Linked DNA regions of Saccharomyces cerevisiae S288C. The protein of the gene in region 1 interacts with the protein of each later gene in a biochemical or structural test. Each region holds a gene or a part of one and is shown on either strand. Other genes may lie near its edges.

Region 1 (5,959 bases):
TTAGCAGCTTTGTCAAATACCGTTCTTGCATCTCTAACGGCTTTGTATAAGCTTGTAAAATCAGAAGCGCCTGAACCGACGTGGAAAGAAACACCAGCCAGGTTTAAACCTAGTTCCTTTATAGCCTTTAATAAAACGTCTACGTTTTCCATTTCACAGCCATATTTGGTGGAAAGTCGACATTGAGCGGTAGAGTCATCGGTAGCGATTCTTAATAACAACTGAGACTCAGGATGAAACTTTTTGATTTTATGCAATTCTTCTACATTGTCAAAAGTAGACTTCATTACATTTTTTGAAGCTGCATATCTAATGAAAGATGCTACTTTACAAGGATTAGCGTAAACAATTCTATCCGGCGAGATGTTCATCGATAATACTCTGTCAATTTCCACTTTGGAAGCGCAATCGAAATTAACGCCCAACTCTGCTAATAATGACAAAACCTTGGTATCAGGATTACATTTGACGGCATAAAATGGCTTAATTCTAGGAAGCTCCTTCACCCAGTTGTTGAATAATCTCTTGACTTCTCCCAAATCGCATATGAAAAACGAGTTCTCCTCACCGGGGTCGCACGTTTCATTATTAATTCTACCAATACGAGCCTTGAGCGCTTGAAATATTTTAGGATGCGCTTGTTCATGCGGTAAAAGTTCCAAATCTTGGTTATTCTTTAGTTCAAGCAAAAGATTGTGCAGCGTCTCGCCATCTTTATAATATTGCTTCTTTTGGGTAACCGTAGAATTAGACAAGTCCACTAAAGTAGTAGTGGAACTAGATAGAGCATTTCCTACTTGAGTACTAGACATAGTAAGTTTGAAATTCAAAGGTTTTGATTACTATGAAAAAGTTGTAGAACAATCAAAAAATCTTACCTACTTAAACTTGAAACAAAAGCCGTGCTGAAACCTGGATGATAAACCAAGGAACGAAAAGTTCTTCTGTCCTTTCTATTAACTACACTATTATGATTGAATTTTAAGCTTATTAGAAGCAGGTTCCGCTATTTCAGTGCAATAAATGCTTTTCATTTTCGATTTCAGAATAAAAATCAGGATGACCAATCTATTGCGCAGGAGAAGTTATTAGAATGATTTCACTTCGAAATGGGCGAAAATATCTGCACGGCGCAGATTAAAATTAATCGGTGAAGAAAACGAAGATGCCGCGGCGTGTCGAATGAAAATGAAAGAAAATGAATTTTTATTTGTAGTTTATTTAGCACAGACAAGGAGAGAAATGTACAATTGTTTCGTGATAATGTCTCTTATTAGTTGAAAGAGATTCAGTTATCCATGTATCAATTCTCTACTGTCTCAGTTATGTAATTACAAAATAAGCAACGGTACCCTTCAATTTCGCAGTTGCGTTCGGGGACGAATTCTTTGTCTATTCCATTGGATTTCATAATGTTTATTTCACCCTTTGTGGGGATCTTACGACATAAATCGTTCAAACATCTTGTATGTGTTTTTTTATATCGAAGACCACAAGAGTTACATAGCTGATCTTGCTTTCTTGGCGACCACGATGGCCTCCAACAGGGCGAATCACTCGAATGACACGACACGCACACTCTTGTGGTGTGACGAGTGGGTGATGAGCCACTGGACCTTCTACTTCCCTTTTTCGTTATGCTTGAATTTGATGATCTTCGAGGGCTTTGAGGGGGAGAGTCGAGAGCAAATCTATGATAATTGGGTGACCTTGGGCTTGGAGTGTATGCCTTGGGACGCACAGGTGAGGATGATCTTGATCTCATCTTGCCACTTTTCGTCGGTGTGGAGGGAGATGGAGATGAAGATGCAGAGACAGAACTGTAACTAGCGTTGTCGAGTTTCATCACCAATTGTCTTGCAGTGTTACCGAAAACATTTGATGCTTGCTTTGAGATTTTGTTCTTAGATGGTTTCCTTACATTAGATTTGGAATTGTTCGATAGAATGTCTCTATTCGCAAGCAATTTTTTTATTTGCAAAGCTTTGAAACTGTTCGTCTTTTTGTGACTGGCATTTGGCATGGGAAATGAATTTCCACGTAATTGTCTTTGATGTTTAACTTCTTGAACCAATTTTTCACTAATAATTGGATTGAATATTGAATCGTTATTGCTGGATTTCCCCTCAAAAAAAGAGGCCTCTACTCCTCTAAGCGTCGTGCGCTCCATGGTTCTATTGGTTGGTGGACTCATCGGCGGTGTGACGGGAGGAGTAATACTCCATGCATTGTTGGAAAGATCTTTAAATTGATCTTTAGCTTCTAGAATCGAAGGAATTAGTTTGGTACGATCAAATGATTCCTTAGACGGGGAATGGAACTTGGACGACCTAGTCGATTCCAATTCCTTGCCGTAATTGAAACTATCATTATTTTGATTATTAGTTAAGTTGGGTATACTTAATGGCTTGAAATGAGCCACTTCTTCGCGTATTTTAACATAGTCTTGATAGTTTGTATCCTTACACCAATGGGTAAGATCAGTTTTCCAATTAGATGTACGTTTTGATGTATCAGGGAAGCGTGCTGCGTTTTCTTGTAAAAGAGGACTGGGTAATAATTGCAGATGCCTTAGTGATGGTAGGCTTTGTTGTGGGCGCTCCGGTCTCTTAGATAAAGAGACGGACGATAGCCTGTCTAACAATGGTAGTCGAGGTTGTGAATTAGAGGAAAAACCTAAGCCAGACCCATAGTTCAATGGATTTGTAAAACTAATCTGAGATAAGCTTGCCTTGTTGAATTCTGGTGAATTGCCTGGTGTTAATGAGGAAATTGGATTGTAATCCATATGATGTGGCGATGCTGGTGCAGTATTTGATTTTTTTCCAAGTATTTCGTTAGCCAAAGATATTGGGGAAAGAATTGGCGACACATTGAGCGAATGAAACGAATACTTCCTAGGACTTGCTGAATTTATATTGTTATCGGTTGTGATATTGTTCCTGCTGATATTACTGGATAAATTGGAAAATGAAGGCAATAAAAGATTGTCATAATAGGAGCTATTTGCATGAGAATCCGGACCAGCAGATAATGCATGCAGTGGTGTTTTGATGTATAAGCTTGACATTTTTTTGCTTTTCCCGTTATGAGAAATGTTTTTTTTAGACTGAAAATAAAAGAATGGATAGTATTAAAATAGTAATGAACGTAATAAGGATAGGACAGGAGCGATAGGAAAAGATAGAATTTTGGAGCTTTTTTTCCCTCTTTTTTTGAGCAGGAGCCAATAGTAGTCGGAAAGATGAGTGTATAGATTTTTCGTATTTTATTTCGAGTAAAAATATCACGCTCTTAGGTTCAATAAAAGAATATACTATTTCTTCAAAATGCTTCTCTAATCTATTTTTTTATTTTCCTTAATAACTGAAATATTATTTTTTGATGTAAAATGAGTGAACAAGAATAAAGGATTTTTGGTATGTTTGCAAGTTCTGTGGAGTTCCATGTATAAGGTATACATATTAGAAAAGCTTTACGATTATATACTAACATCATGTACAAAACAGTTTAATAATGATCTGTATTGCTGGCTCAATCCACGTAAGGAAAATGATCAGCCCAATCCTCAAAAATAAAATGGCCCTTCCAAAATTAGAGACATATCGTAGAAATCAGACGCACGCTTGGCGTCAATATCCTAAAACGGAAAACTAATCAGTTAGATGTGTCTTTTTTAGGTAAAAAAAGGCAACCAACTTTTTGCTGGCTAGCGATGCGACAATAAACGCGCGCAGCGAATAAAAATAAGATGGCGGAGGAGCAGAGACTTCTTTTCTTAGAAGAGGTTTTGTTACCGTATGGGGGTATGATGGTTAGATGGCTGAATAAAAACGTTAATTAAAGGAATACAGAAGAGGAAGCGCCCCGATTTCTTTTCTGTTCCACATGAAAGCAGCCGGTTGGGTGGTAGATCTCTAATGACATCCAAACTACAAAACCGAGATTGGACATATAGCACACTCTGCATTTCTACTTTCCTTTCTCCCTACAGTTTGCTCGATCTGAACCGATGCTTCTTTGATTGGACAAGATGATAGACCATGACTCCCTGTATGTATTGCAGAGATTGCCACTACTAACCAAGAAAAGTTGAACGTGTCGTACGTATAAAACGATTTATGCTTAGGCTTTACTGAAAAAAAAAAAGTAAAAAGAGGATGCGCAAACGCATAGAGCAAGTAACTAACCTGTTTTTATAGTATATACTTGGCCCCACCAGGCTGATCGTCAGGCAAAACGCCAAACTAATAACAGTAATAACAGAAATATGAACACCAATAGTAATACTATGGTAATGAATGACGCAAATCAAGCACAAATAACGGCCACATTTACGAAGAAGATATTAGCGCATTTGGATGATCCGGACTCCAACAAATTGGCCCAATTCGTACAGCTTTTTAATCCAAACAACTGCAGAATAATATTTAATGCTACCCCCTTCGCGCAAGCAACAGTTTTTCTGCAAATGTGGCAAAACCAGGTCGTACAAACACAACATGCCCTAACAGGAGTAGACTATCACGCTATTCCGGGATCCGGCACGTTGATATGCAACGTCAATTGCAAAGTCAGATTCGACGAAAGCGGCAGAGACAAGATGGGGCAAGACGCGACTGTTCCCATTCAACCAAATAACACTGGGAACAGAAATCGACCCAACGATATGAACAAGCCAAGACCTCTATGGGGTCCATATTTTGGCATTTCCCTGCAGCTGATCATCGACGACCGCATATTTAGAAATGATTTTAATGGTGTAATATCGGGGTTTAACTATAACATGGTTTACAAACCCGAGGATTCTCTGCTAAAAATTTAGTGGGAAGATTCCGCTCTACCAGGGAAAAACAAAATTATATAGAAAAGAAGGTAAGTAATAAGTAATACGAAAAAACCCAAAAAAAAAATTCAAATACCCCAACCCTGTGCCCTTTCTATTTTTATGGTTGAAAAGGTTACAGAGGATCCTCTGGAGCGGTGACAACAGTTGACGCAATCATGGTCCCTGGCGGTCCCTAAGGATATCTCGGAGGAACCGAGGCACGGAAACGGCTGCACGGGTACGCCAGATAAGGATAATTCAGCCGTCACGCATGAACAGAAGGATGAGCATTTGCTCACCTTCCTGGACTTAACTTGCGTGAATGAAAAGAAGAACACCAATGTTAGAGTAGGGCTTCGCACCAAACTTTAATCAAGAAATCTGAGGAGAAATGATTCTAAGTCTAGCCACGAAAACTGCAAAGCGCACCAAAAGTAAGAAACGACAAAGTTTTTCTAGCATTTTTTTGTTTCATCAAGAGAAGAAACACGATTTATATAACTGTTACCGCTAAAACCTACATCTAAACTTTTTAATATCTGAAAGCGCTAGTCGTGTGTACCCCCCTCAACTGATCAACTGGTCAACGAGCTTTACTTGTGGAAGTTCATGGCAAACGCTCCTTGGCTTTTGCCTAGTCTTGTTCTATGGCACATTTTTCTGTTGAGTTACACCCCGCGTGCTAAAAAAGGGGTGAACCATCAGAAAGCTTATTACTGAGTTTTGCGGAGCATCGCTCGGAGCGGCGGAATTGAATCGAACCGCCGTGCTATTACCGAACAAAAAAATTCGAAAGCATAAACTCAGTAGTGAAAAACTTGAGAATTTTCAGATGAGTGGCGACTTTCCAGTCCTTGCGGTTTTGTCACCTTAGTCAGCTAGTAAGGAGGCCGTGTGGGTTAGAGTGGCTACAATCCTCAAAGGGCACTTCTAGAACCCACGGTGAATTTTTTTTGGCATGATAAATCGGTAGAATCGGTGAAGTAATTACCCAAAAAAGGATCGGGATTGTGTTTCTCGTAATTCCGTATTATTGCCGATGGCATCGACTACTTCTTTTTTCAGAAACCCCAACAAGGGTCTATTGTAATTGTATATAAACCTTTTTGTAATGGATATATACATGTGGTA
Region 2 (5,064 bases), on another chromosome or scaffold:
CACGTTCTTGTAGCTCTAATTCCTTTTTACGGAGTTGCAATTCGCGTTCTTGTAGTAATTTGTCATTCGTGCCATTATTCTCTCCGAAAGTTTGTGAATGTGAGGATAATGGTGAGTTCATTTGTGGCTGAGAGCTTACAACAGGTGGTGGAGATCTCACTGGAGAGTCTCCGTAGTTTACACTATATAGTGCCATATCTTCGATGTCCCTCAAATTCGGAGTTCCTGTTGCTTTATATTCATTTGTATCGGATTGGTTTGTTGCTTCAGTTGGCGTTAGTGCTTCAATTGATGTTTGAGCTTGAGATTGGGCTTGAGCTTGGGCTTGGGCCTGGGCTTTTAGAGCGACTTGATGTTTCTCCTTTAACTCATTAGTTTCCATTTCATGTTGCTTGGCCTGCATAAGCAACTCTTGTCTTAGTTTACTAATTTGACCTTGTAAGGAGGTAATTTGAGTCTGTAAAGCAGATTCATTTTTTTGTGATTTTTGCAAGCTTTGTAAGATTTGAGTTTTTTCATCTGACCTAATAAACCATTTAGATTTGCCACTATTCAATCTTTCAAATTGGGACAAAACAGAGTATAAAAATTCTAAGTACGGAGTTTTGATACCAAAGTCATCGGCTAATAAAATAGTTTGTAACAACAGGATATCGATGTTCAAAGGCGTTGTTTGATGAATGAAATGATAAACCAATGCAGGTGGCTTATTGGTTGAATGATAAGAATTCTTCCATAGAGATAAAAGAGAGTTTTCATTATCATGACTACTGTTTAGTCTGGCTCCCATTGTTTTTGCTACAGTGATGATTTCAGTTACCAGACCTGATATTAAAGGTTTGGCAATGATCTGCTGGTCTAGATCACTTGGGTTTTCTTGTTCAAACATGATTAACAACGGATCAAAACAAATTCTGGAAATCGCCAGCTTCCATTGTTGTGATAGAAACTCAATTGATGAGAAATTGCACAAATTGATTTTTATGTTGGAAAACAATTTAGCAAACAGTTTTTCAAAAGTGGTTAATAATGTTATAACGCCTGATGAATATTTCTCAGTGCTGGACTTACTTTCGCCGAGGTAAATCGTGTTCTCCTTTGCAGTACTAGGAAAGTGTTTGAAATGGTTTGGACCGATTTGACGAATATCCAAATCAGTCAAAATACTGAAAACGTTTACATGCGGAGATTCCATCGATAATTTGACAAACGGTTCCAATTGGATGAAACCACTGCTTTCTAAGAAAATTTTGGTGTTCGAATCGATTATGGACGTTAACTTGGACGCTAACGAGGATAATTCCTGTAAAGATGGAGCACTCATGATGATTATGTCGAAGACGGCTTCACTTGATTTGGAGCTCAAAGCTTCAGTCAAGTGCTCGATAGAGGTGAAATGATTTTCCAATTCGAACCGGTCTTTGCCGTAGTATTCAGTTTCAATTTCAAATTGACATGATTTTGAATCGTTGACGTGGTAGAGGTCTATATTCTTGGCCAGTTGAAACCTTGAGGTGTAGAACAAGATATTCGGGTTGTTCCCAATAGCTAAAACTCGAAGTGAGGAAGACGACATAACTATAACGTGTGTGAGGGCGAGCAAAGCAATTAAACGAAATTGATCTTATTGGTGAGCGTCAGACTGCTGGAGTTGTGTGTTATAAAATGAAAGAAAAAAAAAAGGAAGTAAAACCAGGGAACGAACCGATAACTATTTCTCCCCTTTCTGTTTGTTCTTGGTTTTGCTTGCTTTGTTCTGATCAAGACCAAAAATAGCTGGGTGGCTACGAATAAGAAGGCCAAGATTAGAAGTGTGTTACTCTCACTAATTGACTGTTTAAAAATAAATAAACAAACAGGTTCAAAGAAACGAGAATAAACAAACAACGAACGCCAACGGAAAGAACCGACGTTGTGTTTGCGTTTACGTTCTGCTCTCTCACTTGACACAACACGAAGACCGAAAACAGCTTGGGAAGCATTCACCGATCGTTATTCGAGAGGTTTCCAGTTTCCTTTTTTTTTTTTTTCACTCGCGGTATAAACGAATGAAAAAAAATAAAAAATTTTCATGTTTTTCCGTTCCGGAAGACAAAGCCTGTCCGCCTTTAAGGCGGTAAAAGCCGTCGTAAAGGCTGTCGTAAGATGAGACTAAAGTAATAGTAGTGTATTATAGATGATTATTATCATTATATATACATGGCTACGGTTTTTCGCTGACGGGCTGCGTTATGAAGCGTGGTGGTAGTACTCTGCAAACCAAGGGTGATGCAGAGCCTGCTTGGCGCTCAGCCTCATATCCGGATTAAGTTGCAAGAGTCCGTGTAAGAAATCCATGAGATTCCCGTCTAGCGGTTCTTTGGTGTGTGGTTGCAATACTTGACGTAGGTCTCTTGGTGGTCGTTGCTGGATATTTGGGTTGTATTTGGGTAACTTTGTTACACTGGGCCATAGGGACTCATTAGGAGTGCCCATGATGTCGAAGATCAATTTCAGTTGTTCTTCGTCGTTGGTGCCAGGAAACAAAGGCTTACCCGTTATCATTTCCGCAAGAATGCACCCACACGACCATATATCAATGGATGTGGAGTACGTCCTAGAACCCATTAGCACATCAGGAGCACGGTACCACAACGTTACGACTTCGCTTGAAAATGTGTTGACCGGAATACCGAAAGCACGGGCCAGACCGAAATCACCCAATTTCAACTGGCCTCTCTTGTTGATTAATAGGTTTTGAGGTTTTAAATCACGGTGGAGAATCTTGTTTTCATGGCAAAAGGCCAGCCCTTGCAGTAGTTGCCACTGGAAGTATTTAACCAAGTTTAGTTCTAGCCCTCTTGGTGTGTTGCCCACGGTGCGGGAATCCATGTATTTCTTTAAATCGTTGTCCATGAATTCAAAAACCAAAGTCAACTTGTTCTCTGTGTGAATAACGTCATAAAGTCTAACAATGTTCTCATGTTTCAATTCTTTCATTAGGGAGATCTCACGGATGGCCGTAGAGGGTGTACCTTCCTCTGAATCCAGTTTTACCTCTTTCAGGGCAACATATACCCCTGTGGTTTTGTTCAGTCCCTTGTACACTGTGGCATACGTACCATTGCCAAGCTTTTCTAACTGCTTAAATCTGTTCATAGAGCTCGAGGTTGATTTTTTCTCGTATATATGTTAGTATTCATCATTTCTAGTTCTTTACTTTCCAATGATACTTGACTAGAAAACTACATACTGTGAAGAAGAAGACATTGGTATTGCTCAAGTTTGCCCAGTTTGCCGCGCTATATATCCCTTATCTGCAATTATACGCTATATGGTAAAACTGGATTCCCTTTGTTATCTTTCAATTAGAAAGCTACGGGCTTACGAGTCTACGTGTATGGTGATTTGTACGGAAAATGAACTGCACACAGAGGACAAGCAAAGGGTCTAGGATAGATAGAAGTAGCGCATCCGGCCTGTCTATCCCTCCGTGTCTATCAATTCATTTAACGTGTCTGGACGGACTATGGTAACTACTTTTTGCGTTTTTGCACCTTCTTCCTGTTTTTTTGGTTTTAGTAGTGCACTTATTCTTCACTTTTTTGCTCTGCATTGTTAAAAATTTCATTTTTTGCATTTTGGAAAACCCGATGACATTATTCTTTGAAATAAACCATATCATTTAGAAAATGCGATTTCCATTACGCAAGATAGACAACGCATTTGGTCCGATTATATTGCTATCTTGTGATACTTCTCCTTTCTCTCAACAATGACTGGCGACGGTAGTGCACATATTTCTAAAAACAATCAAAATCAACACAAAGATCGCTTCAAGTTTATTGTGAATGATAAAAGTATTCTAGGACCTCAATGGTTAAGCCTTTACCAAACGGATGGGAAAGTAACATTCGCAAAGTCCCACTTCGAGCAAGCAATGATGAACGTTATTAGAGAACCAAATATTAACTCTACTGTCATATTAAGAGCGGATATTTTGAAAGAGATCAATCATGCTGCAGAAGCTGGGTCTGAGCCAAAATTTGACGAGTCCGTATTAAAAAAGTTTGAGATCGATAATGGTAATGAAAGCGGTGAAGAAGATGTCAAGAAGATAAATATTGAAGATTTAAACATAAGGTCGTGTGAAACATCTGAGAGTTTAAAATTGTCACCCGTTCATGAATTTGTAAGAAGGATCATTCCTAGGAATTTTTACAAAGATGCTATCATAAACCAAACATGTTTAATCCTAAATAGCAAAGACCCTAATTTTCAGGAGACCTCATTGATTGTATATACGCCGCACATTAACTCTGAGAAAGACTGTCCGTTTTATATTCCAAGAACGCAAAGTGTAGGCATTTTGTTACACCAGTCAGTTCTTTCTGTACACTACATTCCCTTCCCCGAGGATAAAACTGCCTTTACAGATGAATCTGAGCGTGTTGTAAGAACCGCTTATAGGTTATTACAAACTGCTAACAAACACTCAAAGGGTGTGATGCAGGGTTATGAAAAGAGGGTCAATCACGATCAAGTGGTAAATAAAGTCAATTTTCAGAACACATACATTGTTTTGAAGAAAAAATACTCCAAGTTCCTGGTGGAGAATTGGGCAGAGTCTACAGACCCAAAAAAACATGTTTTTGAAGACATAGCCATTGCCGCTTTCCTGATTGAATTATGGATTAAAGTGTACGGTCCAGACTTCCGTTCAAAAATGCAATTTAGAGATTTGGGATGCGGCAATGGTGCTCTTTGTTATATTTTACTGAGTGAAAGTATTAAAGGTCTCGGCATAGATGCAAGGAAGCGCAAATCGTGGTCTATCTACCCGCCTGAAGTGCAATCATCGTTAAAGGAGCAAGTTATAATACCTTCTATCCTTTTAAGACCCCATCCTGCTTTGAAAAGACAAGTACCTCATTTGGAACACAATGGGAGATTTTTCCCAGTCAAGGTGACGCACGAAGTGATTGCCCCCGCAACCGTCGTGTATTCAAGTGAGGACTTACTAAAATCTCCGCAGGTCAATACAGCAGAGTTCCCACCAGATACTTTTATTATAGGTAACCACTC
Region 3 (6,143 bases), on another chromosome or scaffold:
ATAGGATTTTCTTATGGCTATGTTTTCATGGGTTGCTTAATCTTTTCGTACTTCTACGTTTTCTTCTTTGTTTGCGAAACAAAGGGATTAACTCTGGAGGAAGTTAATGAAATGTACGAAGAAAGAATAAAGCCATGGAAGTCCGGAGGTTGGATTCCCAGTTCTAGAAGAACACCACAACCAACAAGCAGTACACCATTAGTTATTGTTGATAGTAAATAATTTCTAAATATTCTTGTACTCTGGTAAACAGAAATAACAACAGATAATGGATTGATGCTTTACTTCTATTTCATGGAGATTGGTTTTATATAATAGCCTTTATTAATGGCGTCACAAATTGAAAAAAAAATTAAAAAAAATAAGACGGACACATTTGCGACGCCGGTGAATAAATGCATATAAGTAGTTTATAAGCTAGCTACTACTCAGAAATAATTTCAAAAAAAAAAAGAAGTGGGCACTTTAAAATGAAGATTAGCTATAGTAAATTACTGTAGTATAACAACTACCTGCTATCTTTCTGAAAAAATCAGGCAATGTAAGGTCAAACTTGTACCATCGACATATATAATGTTTTGAGATATAAGTAACTAGAGACCAGTTTATACAGGATCTTACCTCTTTTTACCGTTATGAAAGCTTTATTACTGCGTTGTTAGTAAACACACATATTATTTTCGGGTAGTCCTGTCGATGTTCCAAGGCTTTGCATTTATCATTGTTTCCGCTTCATCGGTGGTATTAGTTAGTGTATCTGTATGTGAAGTATGTGGATAGGTGCTTCTATTATTGGAACAAAACACCTTAAACGCGCACTAGGTTATAGGAAAGGGTCCATTATTCAAAGAACGGCTTATTGAAAAGTATGTTGTAAAGCTCGGTCATATCGCGCATAGCCACGATAAGGCGTGGTGCTGCTTCATAGATTGAGAGGCGCAGTCAATACACAACCATACCGGTAGTTTGATAAATGATACTATCATTCCGGAAGCTCTCTAGTAAGCTGTAGGTGGCATATACGGTATCTATCATCTAGTAATAGCTATTGATTTTTTTCTCGACTATGCTATATGTGTTGTGATGGTTCACTTAGAAGTGAAAAAGTAGCAATAAATTAGACAGACAGAAGTAATTGAAGCTACATTCAACAACATGGCTAAGTAAAAAAGCGTAGAATATCATGATGGGTTTTTTTATCTTTTAATTGCTTTCTATGTAGTATAATGGACCGATCTTTGCAAGTATATATCTGTATGTATCCATATTTAGATGGCAGCAAGCAATATAGATTTGATGAGCTTATATCATTTTATCGTCCTTGTCCAAAAAGTCTTGATAACATTAAAAGTCACTACCGTCAAATCCATCATCAAATCCGCCGTCGAACCCACCAGCATCATCAAATCCGCCGTCGGACCCACCAGCATCATCACCGTAGTAATTGTTCTCGACAACGACAGTGTCTGGTCCGTCATAGTTGTGGTCGTCAAATGCGTGTTCTAGCATAGCTCCACCTAACAAACCCGCACCAACACCAAGTAAACCACCCATCATGGCACCGCCGTGTCCACTACCTTTACTGGTGCTTGGCGCAGTTCCATAGTATGCTTGCTGTGGTGCTGCTGCTGGCATAGGGGCTTGTTGAGGATAGTAACGCTGCTGTTGAGGGTATTGAGGGTACTGAGGCTGTTGAGGCTGATAGTAACGAGGTTGCTGTGCTTGGGCCCCTGCTTGCACTTGCGGTGTTGATTGAGAAGAATAAGGTGGAGGAGCCTGGTCTGCCTGTTGACGAGAACTCTTCTCATTGTTAACACCTGGTGGAGGACCTTTGGGTCTTGGCCATGTTGTTCCCCTTGGTGGTTCCCACTGAGAGCTGTTCGTAGATAAATCTACATAATACCAAGTCTGGTATTCATCATCAAAAACAGCCTTCCAGCCAGAAGGCACTTGAGGAGGATTACTTTTACTTTGAGCCATTACTTTAAAATGTTTTGGGTTTTTTTATCGACTCTCTTGTAGTGAGTGATAAAAGCAATTCAGAAAGAGTCTTTTGATTATCATGACTAAAGTAAACTTTTTCTTCCAGCTGCCGGCTCGGTCAGGTGGACGAAACAAAAAAGCCTGTTGAAATAATACTGAATACGTTAAAACGTCACAGCGCTTGTATATCTTGTGAGAGAAAGGCTATTACCACTGTTATATGAATATAGATTGCTCAACAAAGCGTGTCTTTTTCTGTGTGCTTAAAATATAGTGTCTTTTTTGGGAAAAAAACGTTTATTTACAGTATTCTCTTCTTCTTCTCCTCATTCAACTTGTTGCGGTTCGAAGAAAATTACGCATAAAGAATCAAAGAAAGGCAAAAATTACGCTGTACGATGGGGTCGTTTCCCTTAGCTGAGTTTCCATTACGTGATATCCCTGTTCCTTATAGCTACCGTGTGTCTGGCGGTATAGCTTCCTCAGGTAGTGTTACTGCGCTTGTTACTGCCGCTGGCACTCATCGAAACTCGTCCACGGCTAAGACAGTTGAGACAGAAGACGGCGAAGAAGATATCGATGAGTATCAGAGGAAAAGAGCAGCTGGTTCTGGCGAATCCACTCCTGAACGCAGTGATTTCAAAAGGGTAAAACATGATAATCACAAAACCCTCCATCCAGTTAACTTACAGAACACCGGTGCAGCGTCTGTGGATAATGACGGTCTGCACAATTTAACAGATATATCCAACGATGCAGAAAAACTTTTGATGTCTGTGGATGATGGTTCTGCCGCACCTTCTACATTGAGTGTAAACATGGGAGTGGCATCTCATAATGTTGCTGCTCCCACTACCGTCAATGCGGCAACAATAACTGGCAGTGATGTTAGTAACAATGTTAATAGTGCTACTATTAACAATCCTATGGAGGAAGGAGCGCTGCCGTTATCACCCACTGCTTCCTCTCCAGGTACCACAACTCCTTTAGCTAAAACTACGAAAACTATCAACAACAATAATAATATCGCCGATTTGATAGAATCCAAAGATTCTATAATCTCCCCTGAATACCTTTCTGATGAGATTTTCAGCGCAATAAACAATAATCTCCCTCACGCATACTTCAAAAATTTATTATTTAGATTAGTTGCCAACATGGATAGGAGTGAACTATCCGACTTGGGGACTTTAATCAAGGATAATTTAAAGAGGGACCTAATAACGTCTTTGCCTTTTGAAATAAGTTTGAAAATTTTCAATTATTTGCAATTCGAGGATATTATAAATTCCCTTGGGGTCTCCCAAAATTGGAACAAAATAATTAGAAAATCTACATCGTTGTGGAAAAAACTTCTGATATCGGAAAATTTTGTGAGCCCAAAGGGTTTTAATTCTCTCAATCTCAAACTCTCCCAAAAATACCCAAAACTCTCACAACAAGATCGCCTTAGATTATCTTTTCTGGAGAATATATTCATTTTAAAAAATTGGTACAATCCCAAGTTTGTACCACAAAGGACCACGTTAAGAGGCCATATGACGAGTGTTATTACGTGCTTGCAATTTGAAGATAATTATGTCATTACGGGGGCTGATGACAAAATGATCAGAGTTTATGATTCGATAAACAAGAAATTTCTTCTACAACTATCAGGTCATGATGGTGGGGTTTGGGCATTGAAGTATGCCCATGGCGGTATTTTAGTCAGCGGTTCTACAGACAGAACGGTGCGAGTTTGGGATATTAAGAAAGGTTGTTGTACCCATGTGTTTAAAGGTCATAACTCTACGGTGAGGTGCCTAGATATAGTAGAATATAAAAATATCAAGTACATTGTTACTGGTTCGAGAGATAACACTTTGCACGTTTGGAAATTGCCCAAGGAGTCCTCCGTTCCTGATCATGGGGAAGAACATGATTATCCATTAGTCTTTCATACCCCTGAGGAGAACCCATATTTTGTTGGTGTTTTAAGAGGACATATGGCATCTGTAAGAACTGTCTCAGGCCACGGTAATATTGTCGTTAGTGGCTCCTATGATAATACACTGATTGTGTGGGATGTTGCGCAAATGAAATGTTTGTATATTTTAAGTGGACATACGGATCGTATTTATTCGACAATCTACGATCATGAAAGAAAAAGGTGCATCTCTGCCAGTATGGATACCACTATTAGAATTTGGGATTTGGAAAATATATGGAATAATGGAGAATGTTCCTACGCAACAAATTCAGCATCGCCATGCGCCAAAATACTTGGTGCTATGTACACTTTGCAGGGTCATACAGCTTTGGTCGGTTTATTAAGATTATCCGACAAATTTTTGGTCAGTGCCGCTGCAGACGGTTCAATAAGGGGTTGGGACGCAAACGACTACTCTAGAAAATTTTCCTACCATCATACCAATTTGAGTGCAATTACCACATTTTATGTATCGGATAATATTTTGGTGAGTGGATCGGAAAATCAGTTCAACATCTATAATCTACGGAGTGGGAAATTGGTCCACGCAAATATTCTAAAAGATGCTGATCAGATTTGGTCGGTTAATTTTAAGGGCAAAACACTTGTTGCAGCAGTTGAAAAAGATGGACAGAGCTTTTTAGAAATTCTGGATTTCAGCAAAGCTTCAAAAATTAACTACGTTAGCAATCCCGTAAACTCCTCGTCGTCGTCTTTGGAATCCATTTCTACTTCTTTGGGTCTAACGAGGACAACTATAATACCATGACCTTTCCCAGAGAATAAGCATTGACTCATACTTAGATAATATAGCTTAATAAGTAGTTATATAATCAGTAAAAAAGTACAATAACAACTTCGTACATTTTATTGAATATAAACTGCAGCTAAACTGCTTGTATGTTCAATTTTAATTGTGTTTACAAAAAGGGTGCCGTTTATTAATTAATGTTTCTTCCCTGAAAATATGGAAAGTACAAGTTTTTAGTTGAGAAGGGTTTAAGAAAGTTTTGAAAATGATCTAAAAAAATATAAAAGCAATCAAAGAAATAAAAGCTGGAAAAATGCGTAATAACCGAAGTGACTAAAATTTCTTTACGCGCCAAATAAGAAATCGATGCTCTTGAAAGTAGCAACCATTTTTTAAATAATATATTCCTGATGGTTCTTGGCCCAAGAGTTTTCTTGAACTTTTAACGTTAAGAAGTTGATTCTGCTGATTTTTTTCAAGTTATCAAGCGTTATGTTTTGAAACATCTGTTCCGTTTTCAGTTTTTCAAAAAGATCGATATTCTCTTGAGAATTAGGAAGTTCTACGCTCAACCTCCCGTGGGCAGAAGAAATACAAAAGCTAATACAATTGTGTTAGAATAAAGTTCTAATATTATCTAATTAGTAGTATTCATGTTACTAGTATATTATCACATGATATTTCTCAAATTGGACAATGTAAATAATGAGTGTTTTTATGACACAATCTTTATCGTTAGATGTTTCAACGTTCCAAGGCTTGGTTCTATCGCTCTTCTCTTCAAATTGTAATCGTTTGTCATGATAAACACGTACGGGAAAAAAAAAAAAAGTATCAATAACGCGTAAAGTGAATAGAGTATTGGATTCTATAAGACCGAAGACGCTCATATCACATCTCATAAAATCACTTAAAGCAAGCATCCAGAGGCTATTGATAAAAAGCAGGCACAAGGAGACGCAATGGGACGTTTAGTTGGCTTAGAACTAAGTAATTTCAAGTCCTATAGAGGCGTTACCAAGGTAGGATTCGGCGAGTCGAATTTCACAAGTATTATCGGTCCTAACGGATCTGGTAAATCGAATATGATGGATGCTATCTCATTCGTACTCGGTGTGCGGAGTAATCATTTGAGGTCAAACATCTTGAAAGATTTAATCTATAGAGGTGTTCTAAACGATGAGAATAGTGACGATTATGATAACGAGGGCGCTGCCTCTTCGAACCCACAATCCGCATACGTGAAGGCATTTTATCAAAAAGGTAACAAACTGGTGGAGCTGATGAGGATAATTTCCAGAAACGGTGACACTAGTTATAAAATTGATGGAAAAACTGTCTCCTATAAGGACTATTCTATATTTCTTGAGAACGAAAATATTCTTATCAAAGCCAAAAATTTTCTAGTGTTCCAGGGTGATGTTGAGCAAATTGCAGCAC
Region 4 (4,747 bases), on another chromosome or scaffold:
AATCAATGTCTCGGATTTGGAAGTCCTTTATAGAGATAATTGTAGGGGCCTTTTGTAATGTTTCGGATGTTCTGTTTTAAGTCCGCGGGAGGCCTTTTTATTTTTCGCTTTTTTAGAGATTTCACGAATAAAAGCGTTGCAGAAATGCAACTTCAAAAGAGACTGAAGGAAACACAGATAGAAGAACAGTCTTCAAAGCAATCAATTCGTGTCGGTGCAGCTTAAGAAATGACTTTTATGCAACAGCTTCAAGAGGCTGGGGAAAGATTTAGGTGTATCAATGGTCTTTTATGGGTTGTTTTTGGGCTTGGTGTCTTAAAATGTACAACGTTATCACTTAGATTTTTAGCTCTTATTTTTGATCTTTTTTTACTACCAGCAGTCAATTTCGACAAGTATGGTGCTAAAACTGGTAAATACTGTGCTATCACTGGTGCAAGTGACGGTATTGGTAAAGAATTTGCTAGACAAATGGCGAAACGTGGCTTCAACTTGGTATTGATCTCGAGAACGCAATCTAAATTGGAGGCTTTACAAAAAGAACTAGAAGATCAACATCATGTCGTTGTAAAGATTCTAGCCATTGACATTGCGGAGGATAAAGAATCCAACTATGAATCCATTAAGGAATTGTGTGCGCAGTTACCAATCACCGTTTTGGTCAATAATGTTGGTCAATCACACTCCATTCCTGTTCCATTTTTGGAAACAGAAGAGAAGGAGCTTAGAAATATTATCACTATCAATAACACTGCTACATTATTAATTACACAAATCATTGCACCAAAGATTGTGGAAACTGTGAAAGCTGAAAACAAGAAGTCGGGTACTCGTGGTTTGATCTTAACCATGGGCTCATTTGGTGGTCTGATTCCCACCCCACTTTTGGCTACATACAGTGGTTCGAAATCATTCTTACAAGGTTGGTCTAACTCTTTGGCTGGGGAATTATCTAAAGATGCTATCGATGTTGAATTAATCATTTCATATTTGGTCACTAGCTCGATGTCTAAAATCAGAAGATCATCTTTAATGATCCCAAATCCACAACAGTTTGTAAAATCCACTTTAAGAAGCGTTGGCAGACGCTGCGGCTCTCAAGAAAGATACGCTACTATGACCCCTTACTGGGCGCACGCAGTGTATCAATTTGTAATTACAGAGACCTTTGGCGTTTACTCTAAGATTGTTAACTCCATTAATTATTCCTTCCATAAATCTATCAGAATTAGAGCCTTAAAAAAAGCCGCAAGACAGGTTAAAAAGGAATAGAATTATCGTTCTCGAGATAGTTTTTATACAATACATATATATATATATATATATATATTTACAAGAAAAGCATGGCTTATGTATTATACTTGCTTATGTACCAATATATACATATATGGCCTTATTAGGGCAACAAACGCCAAAAATAAAAACGAACCTAAATGAGAAAAAAAGAGAAAAATTTGGAAAACAACAAGAACTCAAAAAAAAAAATTGGTGGAAGGACCAAGTCCTCTTGAAAGAAAATTTAATACTGCTTTTCCAGAATATCATATTGGAAAAAATATTCAAGCCAGCACATCAGCTACAGTGGAAAATAGCCCAGATCAAATAGAACTATCCTTCGAACATGAGCGGTGAATTAGCAAATTACAAAAGACTTGAGAAAGTCGGTGAAGGTACATACGGTGTTGTTTATAAAGCGTTAGACTTAAGACCTGGCCAAGGTCAAAGAGTAGTCGCATTGAAGAAAATAAGACTAGAGAGTGAAGACGAGGGTGTTCCCAGTACAGCCATCAGAGAAATCTCATTATTGAAGGAATTAAAAGACGATAATATTGTCAGATTATACGATATTGTTCACTCTGATGCACACAAGCTATATCTTGTTTTTGAGTTCCTCGATTTGGACCTGAAAAGATATATGGAGGGTATTCCAAAGGACCAACCGTTAGGAGCTGATATTGTTAAGAAGTTTATGATGCAACTTTGTAAGGGTATTGCATACTGCCACTCACACCGTATTCTGCATCGTGATTTAAAACCGCAGAACTTATTGATTAACAAAGATGGGAATCTAAAACTAGGTGATTTTGGCTTAGCGCGTGCTTTTGGTGTTCCGTTGAGAGCTTACACACATGAAATTGTTACTCTATGGTATAGAGCTCCGGAGGTATTACTGGGTGGAAAACAATATAGTACAGGTGTCGATACATGGTCCATCGGCTGTATATTTGCCGAAATGTGTAACAGGAAACCAATCTTCAGTGGCGATAGTGAGATCGATCAGATTTTCAAGATATTCAGAGTATTGGGAACGCCGAATGAAGCTATATGGCCAGATATTGTCTACTTGCCTGATTTCAAGCCAAGCTTTCCTCAATGGCGCAGAAAAGACCTATCACAAGTGGTACCAAGTCTAGATCCACGCGGTATTGATTTGTTGGACAAACTCCTCGCGTATGACCCTATTAACCGGATTAGCGCCAGAAGAGCAGCCATCCACCCCTACTTCCAAGAATCATAAGCATTATAATCTATTTCGCTATTATATTACAAATGCTACTGCACTGTCATTATAGCCTAGTAAAGTATATAGTGAATACAATATACTCAGTTTCAACATTATGATGGGTAACTCCATCAGAAAATATATTCATCGTCATATACGGAACATTCAGTTATACGCGAAAGTAAAAGTGAGAGCTTTTCAGGGGTTAAAAGCTGGGCGTGTTCCATGACGTATTTACCGAGGTCGTATTATCAAAGAAAATGAAAAAAAAAAAAAAAAAAAAAAAAGCGAAGAGGAAAAAGACAAACGAAAAACAAAACGAAATAACGCATTGTATGCTGGGGCCTCAATTGAACTTCTTTGACTATAAGGAGTTCGCTTGTTTAAAGCCGTTTCGCATCTGACTCGCCCTTGGTTTTTTTCTCTGTTCTTGTTTTTGACCTCCGCAAATTCATTGCTCTTTGAATTTTGAAGAGTTTCATTGTCACCGTTGAATAACCGAGACGGGTATTGTTTTTATTTCCTTCATTATTTACATCGCAACACGATTTTTATTAGCTTCCTCAAGGAGCGCTGACCGTATATAATATAATTTCAACAACCGAACAAGGCAGTGCGAAGCGGTGCACCTTACAACAGTGCTAAAGTAGTTACAGTAAACCAATTAATACGTGATGAAGAAGGAGTTGAAAATTCTTATAATAGCGAACATTGCATTACTTATCTCTATAATACATTACACATTTGATTTGTTGACGTTATGTATAGATGATACTTCCAAAGATGCGCTAACAGATGAACAGCTGAACCCCCCCAATGGCTTCAATTCAACATTCTATGAGTCTCCTCCTCAACTCATACCGAAAATCATTCATCAAACCTACAAAACAAACGATATCCCAGAACAGTGGGTAAAAGGGAGGCAGAAGTGCATTGATTTACATCCGGATTACACTTACATTTTATGGACGGATGAAATGTCTGATACTTTCATTAAACAGGAATACCCGTGGTTTCTTGACACCTTTAGGAGTTATGAATATCCAATTGAGAGGGCGGATGCAATACGGTATTTCATCCTTTCGCATTATGGTGGTATTTACATTGACTTGGATGATGGTTGTGAAAGAAGGCTAGACCCTTTGTTGAAAGTACCAGCATTTCTAAGGAAAACTTCGCCTACAGGAGTGTCAAATGATGTGATGGGCTCTGTTCCAAGGCACCCCTTCTTCTTGAAGGTCATCAAATCGTTGAAACACTATAAGAAAAACTGGTACATTCCATATATGACAATCATGGGCTCTACGGGCCCCTTATTCATTAGTGTGGTTTGGAAGCAATATAAGAGATGGTCTAATACGGCCGAAAATGGTGCGGTAAGAATTTTACAACCTGCAGATTATAAAATGCATAATAATTCTTTTTTCTCAATATCTAAAGGTTCCTCCTGGCATACGGGTGATGCCAATTTTATGAAAACTCTAGAGAATCACATCTTGTCTTGCGTGGTTACCGGATTCATTTTTGGCTTTTTCATATTATACGGTGAATTTACATTTTATACTTGGCTGTGCTCGGGACCATTTAACAACAAACGCTATTACATTCAGTGGTTGAGTGACAAGTTCAAGTTACACAAGTGGAAACTAACATCGTCTTACAAGAATAAGGAAAAGAGGCGGAATCCTACTCGTCACGAATATAATTCGAGGGGTAAGAGATTAAGAAAAGATTCTAATATCCCCTACGACAGCGTTTTCCTTGATATAGAAAAGAATCACGCAAAATTTACCGACTTAACCTGATTGAATTGCCACTGTTCTACCCCTATAATATTGTGAGCATGGATAAATCTCAAAAACAATGGCGTATAGATATATAACAGGTATTAAATCTTAGTATTTAAGAATTACAAGTAACATGCATTCCTATAAAAATTAAAGAGAAAAAAATTCGATTATAAAATAGTACAATGTCCAGAAGCTTGGTTTTTAATAGTATATAATAAAGATAAAGATAGATAGAGAACATAACTCTAAACTTTAAGAGTGAATTTTTTTTTTTTAGTTTAGTTTTTTTTTTTTTTTTTTTTTACAATAATGTATTGTTCTTGGAAAATAACACAATCTGTTCAAAGTGGACAGAAACCCTAAAACAAAAATAATAACGGGGAAGGAAAAAAATAGCAAGTGAAACATAAATGAAAAAAAGGAAAATTTTATTGGTTAATAAGAAACGATCGAC

Evidence for each region.
Region 2: of the proteins of ASH1 (region 1) and PHO85, one has a biochemical effect on the other in vitro, tested with the Saccharomyces cerevisiae proteins (2 studies listed by BioGRID).
Region 3: the proteins of ASH1 (region 1) and CDC4 form a complex in vitro, tested with the Saccharomyces cerevisiae proteins (2 studies listed by BioGRID, with this or other methods).
Region 4: of the proteins of ASH1 (region 1) and CDC28, one has a biochemical effect on the other in vitro, tested with the Saccharomyces cerevisiae proteins (6 studies listed by BioGRID).

Annotation. Positions count from the first base shown.
Region 1 is NC_001143.9:91,610-97,568, reverse strand, and holds ASH1 (DNA-binding transcription repressor ASH1), read right to left. Parts: upstream 3,071-5,959; coding exon 1,304-3,070; downstream 1-1,303. Other genes in the region: ornithine decarboxylase SPE1, read right to left, coding at 1-812; MTR2 (Mtr2p), read left to right, coding at 4,271-4,825. UniProt on the Saccharomyces cerevisiae protein: Component of the RPD3C(L) histone deacetylase complex (HDAC). Responsible for the deacetylation of lysine residues on the N-terminal part of the core histones (H2A, H2B, H3 and H4).
Region 2 is NC_001148.4:489,789-494,852, forward strand, and holds PHO85 (cyclin-dependent serine/threonine-protein kinase PHO85), read right to left. Parts: upstream 3,250-5,064; coding exon 3,233-3,249; intron 3,131-3,232; coding exon 2,230-3,130; downstream 1-2,229. Other genes in the region: SVL3 (Svl3p), read right to left, coding at 1-1,576; TRM44 (tRNA (uracil) methyltransferase), read left to right, coding at 3,755-5,064.
Region 3 is NC_001138.5:113,764-119,906, forward strand, and holds CDC4 (SCF ubiquitin ligase complex subunit CDC4), read left to right. Parts: upstream 1-2,381; coding exon 2,382-4,721; downstream 4,722-6,143. Other genes in the region: hexose transporter HXT10, read left to right, coding at 1-222; AUA1 (Aua1p), read left to right, coding at 1,227-1,511; WWM1 (Wwm1p), read right to left, coding at 1,345-1,980; cohesin subunit SMC1, read left to right, coding at 5,666-6,143. UniProt on the Saccharomyces cerevisiae protein: Substrate recognition component of a SCF (SKP1-CUL1-F-box protein) E3 ubiquitin-protein ligase complex which mediates the ubiquitination and subsequent proteasomal degradation of target proteins. Recognizes and binds to phosphorylated target proteins.
Region 4 is NC_001134.8:558,457-563,203, forward strand, and holds CDC28 (cyclin-dependent serine/threonine-protein kinase CDC28), read left to right. Parts: upstream 1-1,621; coding exon 1,622-2,518; downstream 2,519-4,747. Other genes in the region: IFA38 (ketoreductase), read left to right, coding at 229-1,272; mannosylinositol phosphorylceramide synthase catalytic subunit CSH1, read left to right, coding at 3,178-4,308; TOS1 (Tos1p), read right to left, coding at 4,747-4,747. UniProt on the Saccharomyces cerevisiae protein: Cyclin-dependent kinase that acts as a master regulator of the mitotic and meiotic cell cycles. Required to drive the G1-S transition. More than 200 substrates have been identified. Substrate specificity is in part regulated by the bound cyclin protein.